Arabidopsis thaliana: one gene and its partner. The protein of the gene in region 1 interacts with the protein of each later gene in a pairwise test. Each region holds a gene or a part of one and is shown on either strand. Other genes may lie near its edges.

Region 1 (8,591 bases):
ATTTTATACTTTCACAGATATGAGATTCACAAAACGTACACTGAATGGAAACTCTGACCTGAAATCTCACGGCAAGGGAATCTCTTAGCTTCGTGTAGCTCTCTTCCCGCCACGGGCTTTGCTGCTTGTTGCCTTTTTTGAGGCTTCTTCCTCGCTCTTCTCATCATCACTTCTTCCACTCTCGAAGCTTTCAGCTTTGTCTGTCGACTCTTCCTCCTCAACTACTCTCACTGAAACTTCTTTGTCCCTCAGTGCTCTCAGTTTTGCCTTCTTTGCATTTAAAACAGAAAGAAACTGCATTGACAAAAATTTCCTCACAAAGAAAAAAAATGGGAAAAGAGACGAGTAGGTGACACTATCTCAACCACATGATCGGAATAACCGCTTAATTCCAAACCCACTTCTCACGACATTATTTAGACATACATATTTGTTTGCCTCTCCTTTTAGTCTAGTGAATGCTATTTACGATTTGGAGAAGAGTCATATTAAACAAGGGGTTGTTATAGGGTCATTTTGCCCTATATTGTCTAAAAGCGGCTATTTACAGACAAATCTTTGGGATGATTTTGAGAGCCTTATGTATTTGGAAACCTGAACCTAACTTCAGTGTTTTTTCTTCTTTTCTATAACAGTTTTTTTACTTTTTCTCCAATATATTAATAATTAATAAGCACACAATTCTTTAGAGTATTGATACCAAATAAGCAAGTTTGATCAGTACTCTAACAATTCTTATGCTCTATCAAAAAAACATTGACAAAGCAAGTCTCAACATTTTGAGGATGAAGATGGCATCATTTTCTTGGTGGTTCGATGAGGAAGAATCTGAAGCCGCGGATTAAGGTGAGTGCCGAGATTCTCCAGCTGCTGAACTAATATATCTGCCCGTCTAGGGAAAGAAGCTCCACCGATTCACCTACCAGGATTACAAATGTATTCCTGCATTTTTGAAAAAGAGATTTAGCCTAAAATGTTAATGGACGATCAAGGTTCTTTATCTCTCCACCACCGAACATGGTTAAACTAACATCAACCTAGAGGGTTTACGAATGATCGAACAGTGATATTCTATCTACGTTACTTAGACGCTTCGTCTTATACAACTTAGTGGGCATTAAAAAGTTTCTTCAAAAAAAAAAAAGGACGAGTGAAAATTTTGGATTGTAGAGACTTGAGAGTAACTTAAGGGTCAAAATCATTACATGAAAAATGATTTAAGAGTAATGGACAAAAAAAATGATACATACGATCAATTATATAAGAAACTGATCCATTAATTCTACAAAATATTGCTTAAAAGTTTTGCAAAAAATGCTGACAAAAAATGAAAAAAGAAAACAGAAAGATGTTCCGGCATTAAGAAAGATGTCAACCACATGAGCTGAATAATTCCAAACCCATTTATCACGACATCACTTCAACATACTTGTTTGTTAGTATCTCCTTTTGGTATATTTTTTTTTGCGTGTTTTTGGCTTTTACACACACCTAAAACTTTGATTGGTGGCTTTTTCTTTGATTTAACTTAAAATAAAGTAATGGAAGACTTGCCAAGTCAAGCTCATGTAATGGAAGTCTGGCCAAGTCAAGCTCGTTACAGAGAATGTTCCTATATAAATAATAGTGTGTAAGCAGACAGGTTCATCACTTACCATTCAACAAACAAATTATCTTTGTCTCCAAACAACAAAATTGAGAGGCGATGGTTCGAAACCAATCTGGTTGCTTTCTTAATATTATTATTACCTCTTTCTAAATTAAGAGTAATGGACCAAAACAATGATATGATAAATTATATTATATAAGAAACTGATTCATAGATTATACAAAATATTACTTAAAAATCTTGCAAAAATATTGATAAAAAGAAAAAGATGTTGCGGCATATAGAAATATGTCAACCACATGACCTGAGTAATTCCAAACCCATTCCTCACGACATTACTTGGACATACATCTTTGTTTTTATCTCCTTTTGGTATTTTTTTTGTGCGTTTTTTGGCTTTTACATTTCTAAAGCTTTGGTTGGTATGCACTAAAACTAAGCTCCCTCCTTGATTTAACTTACAAATAATGTAATGGAAGACTTGCCAAGTCAAGCTCCTTACAGAGAATTTTTTTTATATAAAGAATAGTGTGTAAGCAAACATGTTCATCACTTACCATTCAACAAACAATTTATCTTTGTCTCCAAACAACAAAATTGAGAGGCGATGGTTCGAAACCAATCTCGTTGCTTTCTTGGTATTATTATTACCATCTCTTTCTTTTTCTTTCTTCTTTCCTTACCAAACACTTTCGCTTCTCCCACACGGTCTTTGTGCCGCAGCGACCAAAGAGATGCTCTTTTGGAGCTAAAAAAAGAGTTCCCGATCCATTCCAACGGGAGCCATCATGTAACAACACTTTCTTGGAACAAGACCGTTGATTGTTGTTCTTGGGAGGGTGTCACATGTGATGCTACATTAGGAGAGGTGATATCACTTAATCTCGTTTCCTATATTGCCAACACCTCTTTGAAATCTAGCAGTAGTCTTTTTAAACTCCGACATCTTCGTCACCTAGAGCTTTCACATTGCAATCTCCAAGGAGAGATTCCTTCTTCAATTGGAAATCTTTCTCATCTCACATATCTTGATCTTTCTTTCAATCAATTAGTAGGTGAATTTCCGGTTTCGATAGGTAACCTAAACCAACTAGAATACATAGATCTTTGGGTTAATGCTCTCGGAGGTAATATTCCTACTTCATTTGCCAACTTAACAAAGCTTTCTGAATTGCACCTCCGTCAAAATCAATTCACGGGTGGGGATATAGTATTATCCAACTTAACTAGCTTGTCCATTGTAGACCTCTCCTCCAATTACTTCAACTCCACGATTTCTGCTGACCTTAGTCAACTCCACAACTTAGAGCGATTTTGGGTGTCTGAGAACTCATTTTTTGGACCTTTTCCCTCATTCTTGCTCATGATTCCTTCGTTAGTCGATATTTGTTTAAGTGAAAACCAATTCGAAGGACCTATTAATTTTGGGAATACCACTTCGTCATCTAAGTTGACAGAGTTAGATGTTAGCTACAACAATCTTGATGGGCTAATCCCAAAATCTATATCTACATTAGTTAGTCTCGAACATTTAGAGCTTAGCCACAACAATTTTAGAGGACAAGTCCCTAGTTCTATATCGAAATTAGTCAATCTCGATGGTTTATATCTTAGCCATAATAACTTCGGAGGACAAGTCCCTAGCTCTATATTTAAATTAGTCAATCTCGAACATTTAGATCTTAGCCACAACGATTTCGGAGGACGAGTCCCTAGCTCTATATCAAAATTAGTCAACCTCAGTTCCCTTGATCTTTCCTACAACAAGTTTGAAGGTCATGTACCTCAATGTATATGGAGATCTTCTAAGTTAGATTCAGTGGATCTTTCTTATAATTCTTTCAACAGTTTCGGCAGAATTCTAGAACTTGGGGATGAATCATTAGAAAGAGATTGGGATCTTAGCTCAAATTCCCTCCAAGGACCAATTCCCCAATGGATCTGCAACTTCAGATTTTTTTCCTTCTTAGATTTTTCCAACAACCATCTTAATGGCTCAATTCCACAATGTTTGAAGAATTCCACTGATTTCTACATGTTAAATCTGCGAAACAACAGTCTAAGTGGATTTATGCCAGACTTCTGCATGGATGGCTCAATGTTGGGATCACTTGATGTCAGCCTCAACAATTTGGTGGGGAAACTTCCAGAATCTTTCATCAACTGTGAGTGGATGGAATATCTTAATGTGAGAGGAAACAAGATCAAAGACACGTTTCCAGTCTGGTTGGGATCTCTACAATACCTAACGGTTCTTGTGCTCCGATCAAATACATTCTATGGTCCAGTCTATAAGGCCTCTGCCTACTTAGGCTTTCCAAGCATGCGGATCATGGACATATCGAATAACAACTTCGTTGGATCATTGCCACAAGACTATTTTGCCAACTGGACTGAAATGTCATCGGTATGGCAACGACCTATGCTCACACTTGATTACAAAAGAAATATAGCTATACCAGGGTCAAACTACATGGGAGATGATAATCATCAAGATTCAATTGATTTGGTGTATAAAGGAGTAGACACAGATTTCGAACAAATCTTTGGAGGCTTTAAAGTCATAGATTTTTCTGGAAACCGATTCTCTGGACATATCCCTAGATCCATTGGTCTATTGAGCGAATTGCTTCATCTCAACTTGTCAGGCAATGCATTCACAGGAAACATCCCACCATCTTTGGCTAGTATTACAAAGCTCGAGACGCTAGACCTATCGCGAAACAACTTGTCAGGTGAAATTCCTCGAGGTCTCGGGAAACTCTCGTTTCTCTCCAACATCAACTTCTCCCACAACCATCTAGAGGGATTGGTGCCACAAAGCACACAGTTTGGAAGTCAAAATTGTTCTTCATTCATGGGTAATCCCAGACTCTATGGACTCGATCAAATTTGTGGAGAAACCCATGTCCCCATACCTACATCGCTGCACCCCGAGGAACCTTTGTTGGAACCGGAAGAGACAGTTCTGAACTGGATAGCAGCTGCAATAGCATTTGGACCTGGTGTGTTTTGTGGATTAGTGATTGGACATATTTTCACTTCATACAAGCACAAGTGGCTTATGGCGAAATTTTGTCGAAACAAGCGCAAAACCACCATAGGTACTTCTTAACACTATCTCTCACAGTTCCTCTAAAAATTCATCTAAGTTGTTGTCGAGAAACTACCTCGTCATGTGTTTGTCTTTGTGATTTTTTTTCTTTTGCTTTGTAATTTTATGTTTGTAATATTTTCTCACCATTTGGTAATAAAATATGGTTCGTGTGATGGTCTATGTTTCTTAGTTATCACAATTTGGGGCTTGAAGCTTTCTAACAATCAATCATGCCATCTCTAAGTTATTGCATTTACTTTCAGAAGTAATACAAATTGTAAATTATTTTTTTAAACCAAAGAAGGTTTGACAAACAATTTTCCTAGCTATGAGTTTGACAAAACTTGGAATGGAAACTCTGACCTGAAAATCTCACGGCAGGGCAATCTCTTAGCTTCGTGCAGCTCTCTTCCCGCCACGGGCTTTGCTGCTTGTTGCCTTTTTTGAGGCTTCTTCCTCGCTCTTCTCATCATCACTTCTTCCACTCTCAAAGCTTTCAGCTTTGTCTGTCGACTCTTCCTCCTCAACTACTCTCACTGAATCTTCTTTGTCCCTTAGTGCTCTCAGTTTTGCCTTCTTTGCATTTAAAACAGAAAGAAACTGCATTGACAAAAAAAAGAAGTAACTAACAGATCATAAAAACCAATGACTCTAGTTTAAGCAAGAACAAACCACGATGTGGATATTAAGCAGAGTAACCAAGGTGATCGAATAATTCATACCTTTGCATAAGTTGCACTCTCAAACTCTGTTTTTTCGTCACAGAGTTTTTCACCTTGCGCTAGACATCTCTCAGCTTCACTTCTCATCTTCTCAAAAGATCTCGTCTTGTTCACCACTTCTTCCTGTGTAAACACTAAAGTATTGAGAGATTGACACATATCTTCCAAACACAAATCAAATTGCCATTTCTAACAAAGCATAGATCAAAGAACTTAAGCTCTAATTCATCATCATTCTCAAACATCACAACAAATCCTCACAATTCAGAACGTACAGTATAAGAGTCATACACTTAGCCTTATGTTAGCCTCCATAAGAAAATCCAAGATCCCAACAGTGATCTTCTTGCTATCATCTGATGGTTTACATTTCCACCTCCACTCAAGTTTAGTCCCTTCCTTCTCAAACGTCCAAGAGAGCTTTAACCAAAACACAATCAAAGACAACAACAACATCCAAAAATCTCAGGCTTACTTCAAAACACTAACGAATGATCCAATAAGAAGATCACTGACCCGTTTAGATCCCTCTAGAGCATCGGAGAAACTATAGACCGAATTAGGTTGTTGAAACCCTAAGTATTGCTCGGCGAGCTTTAAATACTCTGACACAGGCTGGTCCCATTGTGCTGCTCTCTCCGCCACTTCCTCCTCCGTCGCTTCAATTTCGAGCAAAACCAAAATAAAAATCAGATTCGAAAAACGCTAGAGGCTAAGTGATAGTGTGAATTTAGGGTTTTTTTGTTTACCATTGCAAATCCAAGAGGAGGAACCATCGGTGACGGAGATATCGAAACGAGAATTATGCCAAGTGCCTTTGACGAAAATTGGATCGGCGCCGGAGATTTCGAGACGGAGACAAGTGTGTTTCGTTTTCTCCGATTCAACCATTGTTTCGATAAAAGTCGTCGACGAAGATTTTGAGTCAACTCCGATCATAATAATGTCTATAATTTGTTTTGGTTTTGCTTACGTGGATGCTGAGTCAGCTTCGGTATTGTTTTTTTTAAAATATATTTAGTGATTTTACTTAAAAGAAGTTGTTAAAAAAAAAAAACTCCCATTACATATAGACAATTTAAGTAATTATTAATTTTTTTTTATTTTTTTATCACAAGTAATTAAAAATTAACAAATTACTGTTTTCATTCAGTAAATTAATTAGTAATTATTACTTTGAAGCTCATCAAAAGATTGAAGAATATCTAAATTAGTTTGGCAAATCTTTGTATTTTGTATCCTAACCGAAGCTTATCTTTAATAAATAAAAAATCCGTTAAATGTTGTTACTTACATTTCTTTTTAATTTTTTTAATCATACTTTTTTCTAATAATATACATATAATAATAAAAATGCCTTTTAAAAGAAAAAATTATATTATGTGTTTTCCTTTTTAGTATATTGAACTCAATAAGAAAGTAACTCCACCACTATTGTTGGATGATAAACGATGTTAATATGGCATGGCACAATCGTATGATAAGAGTTCATGCAACTGTGAATGAGACGAAATGCAGTTATACGGATTTGAAATTTTTTCTAAAGTTTATTCAGGTCGCGCCTTAGTGGATTTTATACAATGACGTGATTTTTTTTATGTATAATGTAAAATTAAAATAAGTAAAACTTCTATAAATTAACAGTCGCTCATCAATAACTAGAGTCTTGTTTCTTAAAGACGATGACGACCTATTAAGTTATCTTAATGAGAATGTGGACGATATTGAGCCCGAGTGGTTTATTCTTGACATTTCCACCATTCGTAGTGCTATGATTGGAGCAGCGGGTTGGCCTTCGTCCATCCCCAACTACAATCCCAAACATATCATTGAGAATTTGGGGTGTAGATTGTTAGGACTTCAATTAAAGCAGCTACATCATTAATACATAATTTGAACGGATCAATTGAGGAGAAAGCTGAAGGATGTGGTTACACAATTTCTAGAGTTTTCACACAGGATGAGGATACAATTCATATAACTAAACTCTGCAAAACAATACAAAAAAAATTGATGTAGTAAAATAATATAATTGAACTCTGCGTAAAAAACCAAACAATACTAAAATCATATTTTACTAAATTTTCTTACATATATTGATATTAATAAGTTTATACAATTCTTAGTTTATGATACTAATGAAACCATATATTTCTATAGGATTTTTGAATAAATTATTACTTTATTTATTTTATCAAATAATGTTAAATATTATATTCACTTGACTAGAAACCAAATTTTTTTATTAATTTATAGTGATTACTAATTTATCGAATATTAATCAATAGATGTTTTTTGTACAATTTATTCACATGTTAAATTTAAAATTACAATTGTGCTCACTTCATTTCTTTACTTAGTCTACATTATCTGGATATCGTATAATTATTAAATCGTGTTCATCATCACTGTAAATATACTATTTTAGATTTAACTTTAGTGAAATATGCATATAAACATTAACATGTTTTAAGTTGATTTTCATATTTAAATTTATCTTATTGTAATGTTGATTTTTTTTTTGGCAAATTGACAAATTTATTTTGATTGTTCGAGCATAAGAAAATAACTGGTTACTATTATAAGGTACATGTTAAACTATTAATGATGTCACAGAATCTTAATTAACAAATGTATTTGTCGCTAAAGACTTCAGACTTCTAGTTGTCTTTTTGGTTTGTAAAATATTTTGAAAGAAAATCATGTTTCCAAAAATAATTTGATACAAAATCAGGTTTCATTTGTGCTCGGAAATTTTGTAAAAAGATTCGTTGTTGTGATCATTTTTAATACACGGATGAAAGAAATATCAATTAAACAAAAACAAATATTAGAAAACGTCAAACCCTATTTGTTAATTCACTTTAGCTAACTACGACGTCTATATACATCTCCCAAAATATAAAATATTATTATATATTTGTGAAATTAATTATTGTTTTTCTGTAACCATTTTTGGAGAATTATTATTGTTTGGCTATACTCTTATAGACAAATGGGACCGACCCACTTATTCGTTGGATAGTCTTTCTTTTACTCCACTCAGCGCATAACCTCTATCACACACAGCTCAATCATCCCACGTCTTCTTTTCTAAATCCCCTATTTTACCCTTGAACCTATCACCGATTCGATTTCGACTCTTACTTACAACAAGGGCATA
Region 2 (5,885 bases), on another chromosome or scaffold:
AGCTGAGGGTTTTAGCGAGGTTTCAATTAAAGGGTGAAAATGTAAGAAATTGAAAGTTTTGAGGGTGAAAAAAAAAAAAAAAAAAAAAAAAAAAAACCGAGGGTAAAATAAAAAGAACCTGTCAGACCGCCGTGCGACCACCCCGGCAAGGAAGACCAAGCCGAGTAACGATCCTCTACAGCACCGGATGCGTCCGAAGACGATCGTAGCCATCAATCACGCTCTGACCGCACGGTCATGGTTCATCAACCAGGGTTTAGGGCCTGTCTCCTTAGAAATCAAGGAAACAGAGGTACGAGCCTATAGAACAGATCCTGTTCAAGTAAGGTCGTGACCATCTATCTTTTGTGTCCTTATATATACAAATTGGTTTTCTGCTGGCTTTTCGATGTGGGACATTTGACACTCTTATTTCCACACTTAATCCAACTATCTTATGACACGTGTAATTAATTATTTAGTAAAGGAATTGTATTTTAAAAAAAAATTGAGATCCCAAGTTTCCTCAGTACCATAGGTTTTCTTAGTTTACCTTAAAGATATGCAATGGTTTCTAATACAAGTACATTGCATTGCATTATATGTAACATCTAAATCAGTTGTCCATGGATATGCAATTACAAAAAGGAACCGATTACTTACATACAGAACCTATTCAAAAAGAAAAAAAAAAAATTTAGTACCAAAGGCTGTGTGCCTGTGATGCCTTAGAGATTCCTCTCGTGTGGCTCGAGCCAAGGAAATCCTAAGAAATCAAAAACTTGTTTCTCCGTTGAGAGTTTCAGACTTGCAGTTCCTCTAGCACCCTGAGAGACAAACATTATCACAGCTTCAACATAATCATTCTTTCACTTTAAAACCCAAGAATTCACATCAAGTTAATTCACTTTTCTCCCTTACTTACCCGGTTACCACTAGAACTGTGAGTAGCTGGGAATAGTCCAGTGTCGTCAAGTCGATATCCTTTCGATTCTGCTAGCAATCTCAGCCTGCAGTTATCATCGCATATATATATACATATGCTGTGTTCTTTATCTACCAACAAATGTGTTTAGTGAGACATGTATACAAATGAAATCATATCCATACCTTCTGTTCAACACGTCGTTCCCTGTCCAGGCTATGAGTCCAAACGAATAGATATCCCTTGGATAGACCTATGAAAAAAGACTATTTATTGAATGATCTTCCGGGAAGAGATCAACCTAGACATAGCTGAATCAATCATGGTATTGTCCTTTTTATCTTTGACTAACCCACTTAGTTCTTTTCTGCATTGTGTGACATTAGGAGTTTTCAGGTGTTACCTTAAAATCGATACGGCGCCGTAGCTCCTGACCAGGATAAGTGCACAAACCAAAATACGTGTCAACGCCTGAATCAGTACCCTGCACAATAAGGGAAATCATTGAGGAGCTGTGATTGAACAAGAATTTTTGTTACACATGCAACTCTGAGAGAACAAAGCTTTATCTAATGCTAAAAGAGATCATTTTATAAGATACTGAAACAACTGAAGTAATGTGTTTTCAATGAAGATGAGATCCTCTCTTAAATAATTTTATCAGATCATCTTACCTCTTCACTGTGGGTGCTGAAGATGAGATCCTCCCTTAAAAAGTTCATTTCTTTTAAACGCTTTACAAACTTTGTCAAAAATCCCTTGTGACTGGTCAGGACAATAAGAAAAAACAGTTTAAGTAAACTTTGTTACAGGAAACTAACGCAGGAAGATGAGGAAAGAAGATTGTAGGTACCTTTGTCCATCAGGATGGGTGACAACGATATCCAGATCTCCACAAGTAGCTTTCCCACGTCTATATGATCCTCCACATACAATATTCACCTGCAGTAAAGATGTTGGTTAGGATTTCACTAAACTTTTATCACCCAAATATGGAGCAGACCGATAAACTGAATAGTTCATACGCCAGGCAAAGTTTCCTCGCCGACTCTCTGTAAAAGTTGTTCCATCTCTTGCACCTACAATACAGAAAGTGAAGAAATATGAGGAGAAAATTACAAGAAGGATAATAAAGACAAACAAAATTCACGTTGAAGTTTAAGAATCGCACCTCCTGACGTGGAATTCGTGTTTTGATATCATCAAAATATTTCAACCCCAACTTCTGTGCATGCGTTAGTGAATCCTCATTCTTCAAGTCTTCTAGTGTGCGATGTCCTTTCTCATATAGCTTGAGTGCAGTTGCAGGACCGACACCCCAAACTTCCCCGAACAAACTGATTGTACGAACCTTCAACCATAGTAATGAAACATTTATAGTGGTAAACAAAACATATCAGACATCTCTAGCTCCAGTTCGGTCATTGACAGTATTTTTCTTTAAAGAGAAAAAGGAACAAGAGAAAAGCAAATGGCCTCTACATGTGAGCTTGTATCTAATTGAAAATGGGAGATAGCAAAATAACTATAACCAAGGACTTCAAAATTACCTTCTCATCTGTTTCAAAATGTTCAAGCTTGGACAACTTCCCTGTTGTCACAATCTCTTGAATCTGCCAAATTCAGGTAGAAGAATAAGACTTTGTTCTCACAGAAATACATCAAAACAAAGGTTATAGGTATGCACTAGGAAAAGGGTAAGTGTTTGCAGTTTTGACACCCACACACAGAACCTAGACAAAACATTTGAAGCATTTCTCAACTTACATGATCTCTCATTGCCTTTCCGATTCCAGGGAGGTGTTTGAGCTGATCAACGCTTTCAATCCTAGTGGGGAACTTTTCAATGACGGGGATAGCTTTGTAATAGCTAAAGGACCGTCTATCTTCACCCAAAGCTTTTGAAAAAAAAGAAAGAGTATTGTTACTTACTTACTATAAGCGAGTAGTCTAGAATACAAACACCAGAGATTGTACCTCTATATATGTTAATTAACTTTCCAAATATCTCAGTGATATTTCTGTTCAAATCGGGTGGTTTGTACACCGATGTGGACTACAAATCAAAAGAAGATCAATGAGAACTTCCAATATCAACAACATTATTTCTTTCTGAAAATGCAGATATAGAAAACAGGTTTTTGTTTAGTTAACTTCTAAGAACCAAAAGGATGCATCAGCAAAGGAGTCACTCAGGCTTACCTCTGATTGTGGACTAGTGGGAGTCTCTGCGATGCCTTCTCCAGGACTGGCGCTAGTAGAGGGAACACTGCAACTTGTTGGTGAATCCGGTGATCCTTGTGTATTGCTATGACTTTCAACGCCTTTGAAGTCACCAGCATCAGGAGAATATCTGGTTCTTTTTTGAGGTGAAGATTGATCCTCGCTACCACTTATTGCAGGCAAAGACTTTTTCGGCTTATCAACTTCTTCTGAGTCAATTTTGAGAACATACAAATCTTCATTAGCCTTCTCTCCTGAAGTTAGGCTATCTTCTAACCACTGGTAAAGCATAAGGCGCTGCAAGGAACAACCAATGTATATAAACTTGTAACACTGGATAATCTCTATTCGTAGATAAAACTTGTACCCAATTAATCTAATCGTAGAGAAAACTCATGAACAACACAACAGATAGTTATAAAAGATTGTTTTTTCTATATGACGAAATCCATTTTTTAGTAAAAACTGAAAAGAACGAAAAACCAACTTACTGCTGTAAAATGCGAGAGACGTTCTTTCCCAAATTTGTGGAGAAGAGCTTCGAGATTCATGGCAAGAACATGAGTGACTTTCTTCGTTACCCGATCTTCTTCGATCACTGCACCCATTTGAACCAGCTTCTGCTTCCAGATCTTCATTCAAATAGAGAGAAAATTACAGACATAGCATGCAACAATTAAAAAGAAGATGTTAAGGAAATTTGTCGAAGATGATGCAAGTAAAATAACACTGAACAAAATTTTCAGAGTAAAACCTGCAATCGACGACGCTGGACTCCGATTTCAACCATGAAAACTACCATTCCGGCGAACATCCCTTCCGGGTCCGGAGACGGCGACCGGTTTCTCCCTCGCTTTGCCGCCATTTTTCTCGCTTTACTCGTAACTCACTCGAGTTTTGTCCACCAAACTAGTATATGTCTTTCAAAGCAGGAATACCCCAATTAGGCAATTACGCTCGTTTCAACGAACCGAATCGGAACCAAACCGAAATAACCTGTTCTAAACCGAATGAATTTTTTCCTCATTCAACGACCAACTTTGACTTAAAATGCCTCTCTTTTGTTAGTCAACACCATTTTTCATGAAAACTTCCTTGAATTAAAATTAAATCTCACCGTAAGGAACAACAAATGTTTTATCTCTCGCTTGAATCATTTCAACGTCATAAATAATGAAACAACAACTAATGGTGCAAAATTACAGAGTGACAAAGTCTTCTTCACTTCAATGTCTCTCCTAGAAGAAAATTTCTACTTCCTTTTCAGTCATCTCAAGAACATGATCTCTAGCATCCGTGAGCGCACTCTGGATAACACAAAAGGGAAATTTCTCAGCAATGTCGAGCGAAAGATTTGATTATCTCCATTGCACCATATGTTTCTTACCTGTCCAAACTTGGTGATGAAGTTGTTCCCAAGGTTTATCGATGTAACTGTGACATCTTCATTGGCCTTCAATGCTTGAGCAATGGCGAATGCTCCATCATCCTACAAATGAGGCAAAATAATAAGATTGACCTGCTTACAAGTCTTAAAAGAAGACACAGTATTGATAAACGAAGTAGCGCTTTTTTTTTACCCGTATTTCATTGAATCCTAGATCCACAGATGTCAGAGCTTCATTAACTACTTTCAAGCTTCGAGCTAAGCAGGAAGCTCCCTGCAAATAACGTACCACATACATTATGAAAACATATAGTTCGTAGCTATATTAGAAGTACAAATCTGATACTCATAAAATCTGTCTGCAGGAACCTCATCTCTAAGTCCATTTGCCCGCAAGTCCAAAACCGAGATTGTATTGTTATATCTCAACATGTCTGCAACATGTTCAGCACCCTTGGCAGCTATCTGCAGGAATAAGAAATGAAAGGAACCATGACAAAACGAAATAAGTAACTGTGAAGAAATACTTTTGTTCCTAGATAAAGAGTTATGGACAGGCTTTACCTGACACCAACCAAGTTTGAGCGTCTTTACATTTCCATGGAACTTGAGAATTTCAGATAATGCTTTAGCTCCGTCTGGTCCTATGGGATTATAACCAACCTCTAACTGAGGAAATATTGAGAGTGGTAGTGTCATTATCATACTAGTTATACGTAAACAAGGAATCAAAGATGAGAAGGGTTTTTGGCACTGACCGTCGTAATAATTGCATTATCTTTCAGAGCTTGAGCTATAGCATTAACTCCCTCCGCGTGGATGTTATTTCCACCCTATTTTACCAAAAACGTGTTAGCAGAACAAATAGCTCGATATGGACGCAAGGAAAACTTAGGGAGGCTGGAGAAGATGGTCACTTCTCACCAGGTCAATGGTTGCAATTGAACGGTTTTGCTTCAGAGAATCTGCAATCTTTTCAGCTCCCTGAAACCATTGAAAATCTTTAAGATAGACAACAGAGCAAAAAGAGACAAGGTTTTCCGATATTAGAGAAGCACAGACACAATCCAGATTATTGTTATAAATTGGATATATATGTACCTCATCACCTATATCATTCATGTACAGGTTCAGCCAAACCAAGCTCTTGCTTCTCTTGATGTATTCAGCTACATAGAAGGCACCCTTTGCGGAAATGGAGTTGTTGCCGAGATCTAGCAAAGCCACTTTCCCTGCACACGAAAATGCATCTCGGTATAACTACTGAATTCTACAGTAGAGGTACGGAAGAGTTAATATAGACGTATGACAAGTGTTCTATTGGAAAACCTTTGTGGGAAGATAGACCAGCCATCAAAGCACGAGTCCCTT

What was found. The genes of interacting proteins can lie anywhere in the genome.
Region 2: the proteins of XRCC4 (region 1) and Pol{lambda} interact in a two-hybrid assay, tested with the Arabidopsis thaliana proteins (one study listed by BioGRID).

Annotation. Positions count from the first base shown.
Region 1 is NC_003074.8:8,218,497-8,227,087, reverse strand, and holds XRCC4 (DNA ligase IV-binding protein), read right to left. Parts: upstream 6,407-8,591; 5' UTR 6,368-6,406; coding exon 6,178-6,367; intron 6,088-6,177; coding exon 5,945-6,087; intron 5,849-5,944; coding exon 5,720-5,848; intron 5,552-5,719; coding exon 5,429-5,551; intron 5,307-5,428; coding exon 5,097-5,306; 3' UTR 5,070-5,096; exon of another isoform or gene 4,940-5,069; intron 4,725-4,939; coding exon of another isoform or gene 2,217-4,724; intron 943-2,216; 3' UTR 688-942; downstream 1-687. Other genes in the region: RLP37 (receptor like protein 37), read left to right, coding at 2,217-4,724. UniProt on the Arabidopsis thaliana protein: May be involved in DNA non-homologous end joining (NHEJ) required for double-strand break repair. May bind to DNA. The LIG4-XRCC4 complex is probably responsible for the NHEJ ligation step, and XRCC4 may enhance the joining activity of LIG4.
Region 2 is NC_003070.9:3,464,071-3,469,955, reverse strand, and holds Pol{lambda} (DNA polymerase lambda (POLL)), read right to left. Parts: upstream 4,031-5,885; 5' UTR 3,993-4,030; coding exon 3,882-3,992; intron 3,760-3,881; coding exon 3,619-3,759; intron 3,425-3,618; coding exon 3,107-3,424; intron 2,961-3,106; coding exon 2,882-2,960; intron 2,803-2,881; coding exon 2,672-2,802; intron 2,518-2,671; coding exon 2,455-2,517; intron 2,256-2,454; coding exon 2,076-2,255; intron 1,984-2,075; coding exon 1,930-1,983; intron 1,847-1,929; coding exon 1,758-1,846; intron 1,670-1,757; coding exon 1,579-1,669; intron 1,389-1,578; coding exon 1,308-1,388; intron 1,158-1,307; coding exon 1,090-1,157; coding exon of another isoform or gene 1,032-1,089; exon of another isoform or gene 990-1,031; coding exon 905-989; intron 807-904; coding exon 708-806; 3' UTR 501-707; downstream 1-500. Other genes in the region: emb2004 (RNI-like superfamily protein), read right to left, coding at 4,366-4,434, 4,515-4,616, 4,708-4,788, 4,884-4,979, 5,079-5,183, 5,273-5,347, 5,439-5,498, 5,616-5,746 and 1 more. UniProt on the Arabidopsis thaliana protein: Repair polymerase involved in base excision repair (BER) and responsible for repair of lesions that give rise to abasic (AP) sites in DNA. Has both DNA polymerase and terminal transferase activities. Has a 5'-deoxyribose-5-phosphate lyase (dRP lyase) activity.